3 linked regions of the Drosophila melanogaster genome follow. The protein of the gene in region 1 interacts with the protein of each later gene in a pairwise test. Each region holds a gene or a part of one and is shown on either strand. Other genes may lie near its edges.

Evidence for each region. Proteins that work in one complex are often made in the same cells at the same time.
Region 2: the proteins of CG10395 (region 1) and M1BP interact in a two-hybrid assay, tested with the Drosophila melanogaster proteins (one large-scale study listed by BioGRID).
Region 3: the proteins of CG10395 (region 1) and CG6380 interact in a two-hybrid assay, tested with the Drosophila melanogaster proteins (one large-scale study listed by BioGRID).

What each region holds. Positions count from the first base shown.
Region 1 is NT_033778.4:5,348,362-5,352,828, reverse strand, and holds CG10395 (uncharacterized protein), read right to left. Parts: upstream 2,353-4,467; 5' UTR 2,021-2,352; coding exon 2,008-2,020; intron 1,950-2,007; coding exon 1,117-1,949; 3' UTR 1,109-1,116; downstream 1-1,108. Other genes in the region: IFT20 (intraflagellar transport 20), read left to right, coding at 713-1,108.
Region 2 is NT_033777.3:8,728,915-8,733,647, forward strand, and holds M1BP (motif 1 binding protein), read right to left. Parts: upstream 2,785-4,733; 5' UTR 2,669-2,784; coding exon 2,528-2,668; intron 2,460-2,527; coding exon 1,756-2,459; intron 1,699-1,755; coding exon 1,453-1,698; intron 1,188-1,452; coding exon 1,022-1,187; 3' UTR 876-1,021; downstream 1-875. Other genes in the region: ranshi, read right to left, coding at 10-569, 627-746; CG8202 (uncharacterized protein), read left to right, coding at 3,219-3,235, 3,302-3,392, 3,456-3,569, 3,630-3,801, 3,852-4,507, 4,568-4,733.
Region 3 is NT_033779.5:17,290,200-17,294,074, reverse strand, and holds CG6380 (uncharacterized protein), read left to right. Parts: upstream 1-1,872; 5' UTR 1,873-1,966; coding exon 1,967-2,848; 3' UTR 2,849-3,000; downstream 3,001-3,875.

The DNA of each region.
Region 1 (4,467 bases):
TGAATGCGTACTCCAAATAATAAAATTAACGAAACAAAATAAACTAAAAACAATGCTTCAAAAATGTGGGCTTGGCGGTTTTGGGATGTTTTAGGGCATTAGAGTGGGCCTTTTAAAAAAGTTTTTTGGCAAATATATATAAATTACAAGACTAATAAAATTATGACAAAATATCCAAAATTTTTAAAAAAAAGTGGGAGTGGCAGCTTTAGGCGCTTTTAGGGCGTTAGAGTGGACGTGGCAACCAATTTATTTTTGCAAAACGATAGAAATTTACAAGACTAATAATAATGTAAAAAATTAATTAATTAATAATTATAAAAAAATTAATGTAAAATATAATTTTATAGTTCCTGAATCTTGACGTTCATACGGACAGACGGACATGGCCAGATCGACTCGGCTATTGATCCTGATCAAGAATATAAATACTTTATATGGTCAGAAACGCTCCCCCCCACTGCCTGTTACTTTTTAACGAATCTAGTATGCCCTTATACTCTACGAGTAACGGGTTATTAAAAAAGGGTTATTATTTGCATTTCAAATAATTCAAATACTGAAAGCTAATATAATTTCCAAAAGAAAAATACTAAAGCCTCAATGCATTTATATACAAACGCGTAGCTCTTATTTGTTTACGACTCGTTCAGTTGTCAATAGCAACGCAACGCATAGTAAGAAAGTATTACTTTGTTACAATCGCAATAAGATGGAAGAACTTCAAAAAGTTGGTGTGTTTATAGATGAAATTTACACGGTGCGAGTTGAGCATCCAAACCTTTCCAGTAGCAAAATAATGTTTAAACAAGAATGCTTCAACTACATTAAAGCATTCACTATTTTTAAAAAGTTTGTGTTTAATTATTGTAATATTTCTGAAACGTTTGCCAAAGATGTCGATAAGGAAAAACTACGCGCTATTGGTACTCAAAATCAATTAAAAACGGCATTTATTCAGCGCCAGAACAAGCAGCAAGTCTATCAATATGAGATATTTGAGCAAACAGTAGAACTTGAACGCTTAAAAGGCGAATTGCAGTTTTTACAGCGAATTGAAACGGAGCAACATGAAATAATAAACAATTTTTTTGTCAATCAATATTAAAATTAAATCTACGTATTTGTAGACGTTTTTCTTATTTTGTTGATATTCTTACGATAACATGTAAGACTACATAATGGAACATTTGTTGTTGAACAATTATATGTCTTGCGATTTTCACAACCGCTTACAAAGCACACCTGTGAAGGAGGAGGTGTACGAGGGAGTTGAACTTTTAAAGGATATTCGTAACCTGGGGGAACTATTACATAGTTGCCAGTTACAGCACTTATATAGGTTATTTTTGGATAAGAGGGCTGTTGTAAAGACTTATTGCGAATTGAAATCCGATCCCTGTTGGTTGCCTGTTTTTTTAACAACCGCTCCATTGTCTTTAATTTATCTTTTTCTCTGCGTTCGTCAGCTTGTTGTTTTCGTTTTTGAGATTTCAGAAGAGCTTTATGAATTTCCTCCGCAGTCTGCGGCTTTTCCTTTTCTTTATAACCACTTGGAAGAGCAATTAGCTCTTCTATAAATCCATTTATTTCGGAGTCCTGTGTCCGTTCATAAATAGCACGTTGACGTGCTGTCATAAGTTTGGGGTCCTTTATCTTTTTAAGTTCCTCATCAACAACGTCTAGTTTCCCGGTTTCTATGGCGGTAAGCCACCGATCCTCTTCACTGGACGTATCACTGTTGCGTCGTCTTTTACCTTTTTTAGCACCCGTGTGAGGCAAACTGTCATCATGTGCCAATTTTTTTGTGCTAATATTTCTCGTGCGTCTAAGAGGATGTTCATGAATATTTGAATTAGATGCAAGCGCATCTGTAGTGTAATGAAGTTCTTTAGGTCTCAACGAATTTGAAATAGACTCAGCAGATAAGTACTCTGCATCCTTAGAACCTATGAATAAAAAATGTTACTTTTTAAGATGTAACGTTTGGTGATTGATATAAATTACCTTCTTTCACCATTTCAATTGAAATACACTCGTCCTGTAGCAGCGGCCAATATTTTTGTTTGTTATGCTTAATTTTTTCAAATGTCCAAAAATTGCATTGGTCATACATCCACTACGATGCTTATAGCCTAATTCCACAAATGACATCCTTATTAAACGGCTGGGAAAATCGTGCAATCTCTCTGGCCACATAGTATAATGATTTTAAACTTATAATGATTATAATTATAATAATAATAATTATAATAATAATACTAAAAAAAATTTGAATTGTGCACAATATATTTTTGTATTCCCCTTCCTAAATGCATTTAAGCAATTCACAGAATACATAGCAAAACCATGGTTAGCGGTTGTGTTGAACCGATAACCGATGAAACTGAATAGTAACTAAATATCGTTCCTGATGTCGAGACTCCAATCTATGTGCACTTATGCACGCGAATTCAAATTCTGCATGAAAAGCGCATAAGTTGATAAATGAATAATGGATAAAGTTTAATAAAATTACAAATTATTTGAATTTTTGGTCGGGTAATGTTTAATGTTTTTTATGTTAGTGTCATTACAATCGATATGTTCGATTATTTTACTAAACTTTATATATATATATACTATACTATACTATATATATACTGTTTGTCAAGAAACTGTTTACACACCGTGAAATAAGTTGAATTTTTAACTTTAAAGGTCAAAATTAAGGGTTATTTGTTTAATTAAACGCAATTTTTTTATGAAATATAATTAAACAATATTTATTTTACTTATAAATTAAAAAACAAATTCAAAATATCAAATATACAAGAAAATAAACAACAAATTTCAAGTTTACACACTTTTGAGAGTGTAAAGAAACTATTTACACAAAACACTAAACCTAAGTTTAATCATAAATTTTTTAATTATTTTGTTAATATTTGAAAATTTTTAGTATTTAGTATGACCCCCATTGGCTTTGGCTACAAGTTGAAGCCTTTTTTTCATGGAATGGATGAGTTTTTTTAGGTCATATTCAAGCGGGATCTTTTCCCACTCTTCGACTATCGCAGCAATGAGATGTTGCCGTGTTTTGGGGCACCTTTTTGCCACCTTCTTCTTTAAGTAGGTCCACAAATTTTCAATGGGGTTCAGATCAGGACTCTGAGGGGGCGTATCGATCACCTTGCCACAGTTATAAAGTAGCCAGTTGCGTACATTGTACTCTTTATGTTTGGGATCATTGTCGTGATAAAACTTAAAATTTGGCTTGTTGTTGCTAAATAGACCACATTTTTCTGCACTGGCCTTCAAATTTGTTTCTAAAATATCTAGATATTGCACGGCATTCATAGTGCTTTCAATAAAGGCTAATTTGCCCACTCCATGGCTGGAAATACAGCCCCAAATAATCACTGACAATTTTCCAAATTTGATTGTTGGTATGATATTTTGTTTTTCTAGCGCACTCAACGGTTTGCGCCATACTCTGCTTGGCCCGTCGTTATAAAAGAGCATCATATTTGTTTCGTCACAAAATATGACGTCATCCCAGTACTCTTCCGCATGATCTATCATGCTGAATGACGCTTTTCAATATTGACCTCTGATAGCAAAGGCATTTTTCTTGCAACTCTTGAAGAGTACCTATGGTAGTAGGATAACGTGGTGCACAGTTTCGTGTGACACAGTTAGGTGATATTCTTCCCTGATATCCTGAGCAAGTGATCTGACCGAGATTCGGGGGTTCGCAATCACTTTTAAGGCAGTCTACTCGCTTGTTAATTTTGGTTTTCCGCCCATTACCACTCTTAGGTTCAAGCCTGCCCTCTTTTTCCGCACGATTTAAAATATTATAGACGGTCTTAGGTTGCCGTCTCTTGTTCGTTTGCATCCCTCGACTTCTCCTCCACAGGCAAAGTCCACCGATTTCTTTATGATGAATGGTGAAATTCTTTCGAAAGAGTTGTTGTCTTTCCTTTTGATAATTATAAATTTAGGTTCACCTAATTGCGATGGTATGTTTTTGAAGTAATTTTGTAAATGTTTGGTGGGTCTGTCATGATTGTTGGTTAAGAGCTTGAGCCCGGGTTGGCGGTATTGTTGTTGGTTTTATTTTATTTTCTCTTTGTGGTTGATATTTGTTTATCAAGATTTTGCTGATAAGGGTTTTGGGCTTACGCGAAGCCGGGCTTTAAACTGGGTGGCACGACTTATCTCTTCGGAGGTTGAAGTGGTACTGTTGTTTTGCATTATATTCATTGCCTCGTTTCTGTTTTTTTTTTATATCGCATCTATCTTCTCGTGAATCGAGCCGGTTGGGTGGGAGGTGTGGCCGTGGGACCCGTACGAAAAAAAAAGTAGAGCATCCATTGCTTGAAATTTTATAGTATTATAGCTGTTCTTAATAATTCTATTGACTTACAATACTATTCTGAGTGTTCGCTGACGTGTGAAGACGTGTTTTCATCGAGCCTCGTA
Region 2 (4,733 bases), on another chromosome or scaffold:
GCCACTTACTCGCACCCAAACTCCTTGACGCCGCGATGTCGCTTACAATGCAGTATGAATGATATTCGATCTTTTATGTGATTTCCGCACTCCTCACAAAAGAAGGTCCTATTGGAGTCGCGGGGATTTCGACGATTTCTCCTTTTTTTGGGATTCTCAGAGTCTGATTTGAGTTCCTGCTTTGCATCTACTTCAGTATCGCTTTCGTAAATAAGGTAATCCATTTCACTATAATCAATATCGTCCTCATTATTGGGCTCGTCTTCGTTGATTTTAGATTCATTTAGAATGTCCTCCACTTTAAAACCGGAGCTTTGAATGGGCCCTTCATTGAGATCGTCTAATCGCTCGACTTCTATGCTTATTTCTGCCAGATCCAGTTCCAACTCCTCCTGCTCAAGGACACTTTTGGGAGATTCCTGGCAGATTCTAAGGAAGTCTTCATCATCTTGGGAATGGAGCAACTCCCTTTGGACTTCCAAACAGCGTTCCCTAAAGGATATGGCTTGTTGCAAACAAGTTTGGCAGGACGCACATAGTCGATTTGGCAACGTACTACAGTTCTTTAACTGTAAAGAGAAAAAACTTTAGAAAGTTAAAGACACTACGCATTATTATCCTCTCACCACAGCTCCAGTTAGTAGTTTGATGTGTTCCAGCGTAGTTTGATTGCGCTTTTCAAAAATATTCAATGATCTTTCAGCATTCGTGCGCTTGCCGCAAGTGCGACACACTTTTCCTTCCATTTTTGAGCCGATAAAAAAGTTTGAAACGCCAAACTTTTTGTAAACAATGCTATGCTTGTCAATCAGCTGTTCCGTTTGCCATTCGCATGGAAGCAATTTTTACAGATGAAATAAATGCTCATAAGTTGGGATTTGAAGTTTTGATTTATTATTCAATATTAAGTTCTACATATTACAATTGGTTTGTTAATTATTTGCAGAAATGCTCCTTGGCTGTGCGCCATTGTCGGTCTAGCATTGCCTGTAATTGCTATGTATATATTATAAGGACAGCTTTAGATGTGCAGGCTGTCCTCCTCCTCCTCCTTGAGTTCACGTTTCTGCTCCTGCTCCAGGACCTGTTTCATCTCGGCTTTCTCCAGATGCCGCTTGTGTACGCCAGACCGGAAGTGGGTGCTCAGGTGGGTGGGCAGCATAAAGGACTTGTCGCACAGCTCGCACCTTGAGGGGAAGATTCAGTATTAGATGGCATTTCAAACATTTCAGTAACTGTACCAGTATCACTAGTTTCATATTATTATAAGAAATTATTATAAGATAACTAAATATTACTCACGAAATTTGGCAACATAAGTAATATTTAGTTATCTTAACTCTCATAAGGTTTTGGAAAACTCTTGTAATGCCGCATAATATGATCTTAGAATTTCTAAGAAACCTAGTTATTGGGTTTCCCGGTACTGTGTAGCTGTATGACTCAACGTACCTGTAGGCCCGCTCGCCGGAATGTATCAGCATATGGTTCTTAAGGATGTAGCCGGTAGTGAAGGCCTTGCCGCAAGTACCACAGACGTAGGGGCGCTCATTGGTGTGGGTACGCTCATGCTTCACGCGCGTGGTGTAGTCTGTGAAGCAGCGGCCACAGTACTTACATGCAAACGGTCGCTCTCCGGTGTGCTTGCGCATGTGGCGTTTCAGCTCGGAAGTTGTGCAGAAGCGCGACTGACAGAGTCTGAAAATAAATCCATTTAGTCATACTGTATCCAAAAAGGAGTAGAAATGTACTCACTCGCAGCCAAATTGCTTGTCCCCACGATGGCGACGACAGTGAAGTTCAAAGGCCATGCGTCCCTTGATGTGATTGCCGCACTGCTCGCAGATGTATACTCCGCCGGTGCCACGACGACGCGCATCATCCGACCGGACCTTTGGCTTTGGCGGCAGACTACACTTCTTGACGACAATGTTTTCATGCTCGTACTCATCATCCAGCACGTTGTCAAGAACGGCCACCTCATCATCCGAATCGTAGACGTACGCGTCGTTGACGTCGCCCACAATTAGCTCGGTGTCTTCGTCCAGCTCCAACGTTTGCTGCTGCTCTTCGTCTTCGGCCATTATGGAATCATAGTCGGCCTCTTCAATCAAGGAGGCTGCGTCGTCCTCGCCGGCGTGTCCCTCGGCCACCTCGTAGTAGGTATTATCGTACTCTACCTTGGTGTCGTCGATCTCTTCCTTAGGTTCTTCCAATACGATTTCCTGATAAGTGGCATAGACCTCATCATCGTCGGGCGTCTTCACCGTCTGGACAATATCCTCGCCCATGACAGCCGCCCGGTAGAAGGCCGAGATGCCTTGGCGTTGCTCCTCGGTCAATCCCAAGAGTAGCTCACGCTGGGCGGCGATGCAGCGCTCCCTCAGCTTAACGGCGGAGGCCAGTTCCATGCTGCAGCATTCACATATCTGATCCGGCAGGCAACCGTAGTTCTCCAGCTAGATTAAACACCAATAAATTAAGCTATAACTACATAAATTCCATAAAGCCGCAGTGAAAAATTTACCCGAAGGCCTGTGAGCGCCTCAATGTTGTCGATCATCTTTGTGTTGCTCCGCTCGAATAACTTCGGCGACCGCTTGTTGCTTGCATACTTTGCGCATACGCGGCAGGTGCTCTTTAGGTGTTTCAGCGCCGATTTCGACATTTTTCATTCGCAATCCGAAATGAAATCGTTTTTAAGATATTTGTGAACACAAAAAATAAACGCGTCGCTTGTCAACTGCATTTGCCATTCACCCGGTGTTTCGTGTTAATATTTGCCATTCGCCCCGAAATAAACATATTTTCAGTGGCGTAGGCAAAGGGGTTCATATGATGCCAAAATATATATATATCCTCGAAAATGAATTACTTTGTTAACGTTAGTATTATATATTGCTTTGATATTTAACGGATTTGCATATTTATTATACTCCAATAATATCACATATAAATTTGAATTAATTTGTTTTATAATTTTAAATTTATAAAATTATAAATAAAATCTTTTATTTAAATCTTTAAATTAAATCTTTTTTATAAATTAATTTCTATAGAGCTGCAAGCGAAACGAAATATATACAGTAGAACAGGTTCTAAGCTAAAGTCCCTGGAATTAGTACAGTTTCTTTGGTGTATTTCATCCCTGACCGGCTACGTCCATGTCATGTTGGCAAGCAGCTGTCAGGAATGCCGACAACAACAACCACGACGCTATGGCGAACTTGGAATGGTAATTTATTTATTTTCCCCCGAAAATAAACAAATAAGCATTGATAACCATTTCTCCTGACTGCAGGGTGTGCGTGCCGCGATGCTACGAGGTCCGGAAGAATTGCCTGACTGGGCAGGCCACGCTGGAGCATCCCCTAAAGCAGCGGACGGTGACGGTGGGTAAATGGTACAACGCCCTTATCTGTAAGTGATTTTAATGAAAGAACAATCTCCACCAGGTGGTGGACAGCAATCCCTTGAGCCGAGCTCTAGAGGGCACAGATCCGCTCTCGCAGTTTGCACGCCAAGATGATGAGCTCAACGATCCGCTCAGTCAAATGGTCAGCGAATTCGTAAGTAGAGTGGTGCACCGGCAAGGAACATGACTAAGTTTTTCGCACTTGGATGTTCAGGATCTCAAGTCGAAGCGTCGTGAACGGGACCGAACGGAGCCCGAGGACAACACACTGCAGTGGAGCAGCCGACGACTAGGCATCCTCAACCGCTTTACAACCAATGAGAAGCTATCGCTGTCTACCAGCTTTCTGGTGTCATCTGGTAGCCTGGATGGCGGCAACGAAAGCAGTAAGTTCAGTGGTCGGTTGATCTGTGATATATATTAACAACAATCATAGTTAAAGCACAAACGGTGGTGGCCGACAAGACAAAGTTTCGCTTGGAGCAGTTAGACCACTTCGACGATGGCAGCATGCGTCACATGATGGATCTTACTCAGCAGGAGTACATTCAGCGGTTTGAGCAACTCAAGCAGGAGCTGATCCAGTCCTGGCACAACGATCAGCGAGTAAAAGCGTTGAAGATAGCCATACAGTGTGCCAAAATGCTAGCGGACACCACTGTGCTGCAATTCTATCCGAGTCAGTACGTTCTTATCACTGATATACTGGATGTTTTTGGAAAATTGGTATACGAACGACTGCGTGCTAAGGCCTCTGGAGATCCTGCCGCATCGGCGGCCACATTAGAGCGGGAACGGGAAGCTGCCCGGGATACGTGCCAGAATTGGTTTTATAAGATCGCCTCGATTCGTGAGTTACTGCCGCGTTTTTACTTGGAGCTGTCAATATTCAAGTGCTACGAGTTCCTGTCATCATCGCGCGAGGAGTATGAGCGCATTTTGCAACGTTTGACCCATCAACTGAGGGGTATAGCTGATCCTTTGGTATCGAGCTATGCCCGCTGCTACTTGGTGCGCATGGGCGTTACCCTAACGTCGAGTAAGACATACATAAGAGAGAACTTTGCCGACCTGTTCCTCATATATCCTCAGGTGAGACCGAGAAATATTAAACGTTTAATCACTTTTACTACAAATTTAATACTTTTAAAGATCTTTCGCTTCGTGGCCCGCTTTAATCTGCATCCGGAAATCGTCACCGCCAGCTCCTACCTACAGCTATATGCCCCAGCCTTTGACTACATGCTTCTCTGCCTTGTTCACAAAAGCGAACTGCACACCCAGGATATTCTTAATGAGTGCAAGCAGTTGAAGAATA
Region 3 (3,875 bases), on another chromosome or scaffold:
CGCGTTGCACGTAGAATTTGCACAGACAGAGCCTCGGATACGGATACTCAGATACTCGGATACACACACATATACGCAGACACTCGAACACAGATACACAGTTGCGGATACGCAATGCACACATCCTGCCGGCACTGCACATTGTTGCGATTGATGCACATAAGAAATGCAATCGGGGCAACTGCAATTTCGTAAATCGAAGGAAAAATTTCCTAGCCGCATCAACATCGCATTTCGTCTCCGACAGAGAGGCAATCAAACATGGCAGGAAAACTGCAGCTGAAAAACAGTTGTTGACTGTTTGCCGGCATCGCCTATATCTCCATCATCATGATGTTGATGATCATCATCATCTTCACCTCGCAACAGGACACAACATCGCAACGTCATCATCGCGTGGAGGAACAAGTGAAGGAGGACATATCCTCGTCATCGTCACTTTTATGCTGCTGTTTTGTCGCATCCACTGTGCTTATAAGCATCCGCTCGTCACATGCGTGCAAGCGTATCGGGGATCTACACAGCGAGAAAACGGATTTAGCTTATAATTTTTAGTAATATACATTTTGAATAATATATACCTAATTAGTCATTCCATCAGATAAACGGAAACTGATAATATTGTCTCTCCCCTTAAAATATATTAATATTAATATAAAAATATTAAAGGCATCGTGCTTTAATATTTTTACGCATTTTTTCTCGCGGTGTCTGGGCTCGTATCTGAACGTACTCCGGCAAAGGCTTGTTTATTTGCTGGCAAAATTGTGAAATAATGTGCTGCAATCAATTCCCAATACAGCGCTCCGTGACCTCTAGCCCCTCTTCACATGCGGCACTCCCTCACTTTTCCCTTTGGAAAAGCGGGAGAAAGCGGGAAAAACGGTGTGCAGTGAAGTTATTTGAAGTGGCAGCTGCCACAGAGCGAACTGCAACTGCCACAACTGCATTGGTTGCCCCACGCCTCTTATCATCACTTGATTTACCGCCCCCACTTCCCCCATTTTCCACGTTTTCGTCCGTATCGGAGGTAACATGTTTGTGATGAATATGTTTACATCAATAACAAAAACTCCACTATGGCGCATCAATAATGAAGCCTTGCTCTGACTCCGCTTTACAAAACCCCCTATCATTCCATCCAACGGGCGGCAAAACCCCATTTTGAACACGTCAAAATGAGTTTACTTTGTGGTTTCGATGGCTGCGATTGGAAACTGCTCCCGCGGATTATGAAGTATCTCGATTGGAGTACCGAATACATTCATCCACACACAAACACATCGAGTTCTTGACATCCTCAACACAAAAACAACAGTAGCAATGGCAACAGGGATTACTTCGAGATTGCAGCAGGAAAACCACTTGATATTTTGAAAGTGAATCCGTCCACAGTCTGATCGGAGATTTGGTATTATCCGAGATTAGGGGTTGGGTATTTGCTCGATACGGAGACAAGGACTTAATTTATAATTAATAAACATGTTTGGCTTAATTTACCAGAGAATAATGATGGAGTAACAATGAATTTGAAACTCCACTAAGCAGCATTTAAACAACATACGTAAACATACAAATTTAATATGTATGGTAACAATAAATAAAGTAATTTTAAAATCGAATATAAGAAGATAATATGTGACTTGAAGCAGGCATACCTTCTACTACATAATTAGATCCCAATTTAAAATGTTAAACAGAGTAATTTGAGTGCAGAGTTCATAGAGAGATTTATGATAATAAATTAAAAATAAAATAAAAAATTGTACGCGAATGTAATGAAGTTATACAATAATCTTCCAAGAAAAGGAGCCCACGATTTTTATATATTTTTTGACGATGACAATGTATTTTATCAGTTAAATATTATAAGCCATATAGGGCACACACAAGTTTACACTAATACATTTTAGTTCGGTAATTAGTTCCTTTCAAAGGCCAAAACTACACATAGCTACAAACAAGAATGGATGGGGACCAAGTAAAGGGCATCCTGAAGTCGGGAAACAATAGTGCGCAATTTAGCCTGAAGGCAGCCAAATTTGATGAGGTCAACATACTGGCCACGTTCCACCCGGCTGGTAAGGACTACGGCCACATGATCATCGACGAACCAAAGACACCCTTCGTCTTTGAGGAGGATTTGCCAAAGGAGTTGGATACAAATGCCCTGATCGAAAAGTTGAGACACACATCAAAGTCAGAAATGCCGGCATTTGGCATCGAAGGAGACTCAGAAGAATCCTCGGCGGATGAGGACTTTCCCGAGTCTGTAGAGGAAAAAGTGCGTAGAATGGAGTTTGAGAGGCGGCGAAAAGTGCATTACAAGGAGTTCTATTCGGTTCCACTGGCTCGACGTCTTATAGCCGACGAGTTTGCCGAGTTGACCAGTTCAGAGTTTAATATTCACTGCGAAGGGGGAATGGAATCTTGTGAAGCGTGCAGTGAAAACAATCAACTCGACGGCGAAGCAAGCAACTTGACGCAAACAAAATACTCATATTCTGAAAGTCAATCCGAATACAGGATATCAGATCATTCTGAGCCTGAACCAGGTTTCTCCCCCAGCCATCACTGCTACCAAAAACTGAAGGCCGAGCTCTTTAGCAAAGCAGAGCCGGAAGAATTGGCCTCTTTAACGCACTTGCATCGAATGCCATCGGTCAACGATGATGAACCAAGTCGCGAGCCTCGCGTCCCATACCCTTCGGTTGTTCCGACTCAAACCCAAAATCTACATGAACACAAGAGTTCACTGAAAATAACGTCCGAGAAGCCTACTCCTGCTCGTATATGTAAATCCAACCCTGATAATCGTCCTGGCACTTCTAAGAAAGAGACCCGCTGAAATCATTCAGTAGTGTTAAAAATTGCAAAGTTATATTAAAGAAACTTGTAATTATAACAAACCATTGGGGATTAAAACTTGTGTATGCATTTGACAGAAAGTATCTATTACACTACATCTATCTACACTCTTTTGTAGAAGAAGCTTTTAACAAATGTTGCCTAATGGTTTTTACTCAAGGATAAATATCTTTAATTACTCAATCACAAAAATTGTGTCCAATAACTTTCGGTCATTCCACTCCTGTTCGTGCCTCGTCTAAGTTGCTAAGGAAATTATAGGAAAATTCTAAGTACCACTGGCCAGGCTAATTGCTGAGATGTTGATATGATTAACCCACTAACCTTCATTTGCTCCCCATCTATTAATACTTTGCTTCCGAAAGTTCACTGGTCTGGGGAATATTTAATTACGCAATGTCCTAACGGTAATCATCATTCGGCCGAAGCTAGATACAAGGATACACAGCCAGAGTTTAACTTATTTTGGCATTTTGTTTTGTGATTGAAAATTCCTTTTGACAGTCTAGGCAACCGAAGAGTTTTCCTTCCGGCCAATCGCTTTCATTCTGATTTCATGCTCTGGCCATTCCAATTGTGAAGAAAACTGATTTCTGCCCTTTAAGATAATTCCTCGGATATTACAACTGCAGAATCACTTGAAATAATTATGCAAAATGTTTAATTTAGCCATTAAATGCCGTAGCAGTTCAGTTTTATTATTATTAAGCTTCGGTCAATTCGCTTGCAAATGAAAGGACAACACAAAACCGGATGGTGGTTGGGGGAAGTGTCATGAATATTTATGGGGCCATGTTATCATTGAATAGATTTCAATTAGATTTATTTGCAAATACTTTCGGAGAAGAAAATGAGTAAAGGCAAATACGTTAAGTAACGTTGATCTTGTAAATAAAACTTAAACGTTAAGGTCAAGCATTTTATTTAGAGATGTTTGGTCTTAGCACAGATTAGGCATTTCTCTGTCAATATGTAAACTATGGCTGTACAATTGTATTGTACCATTT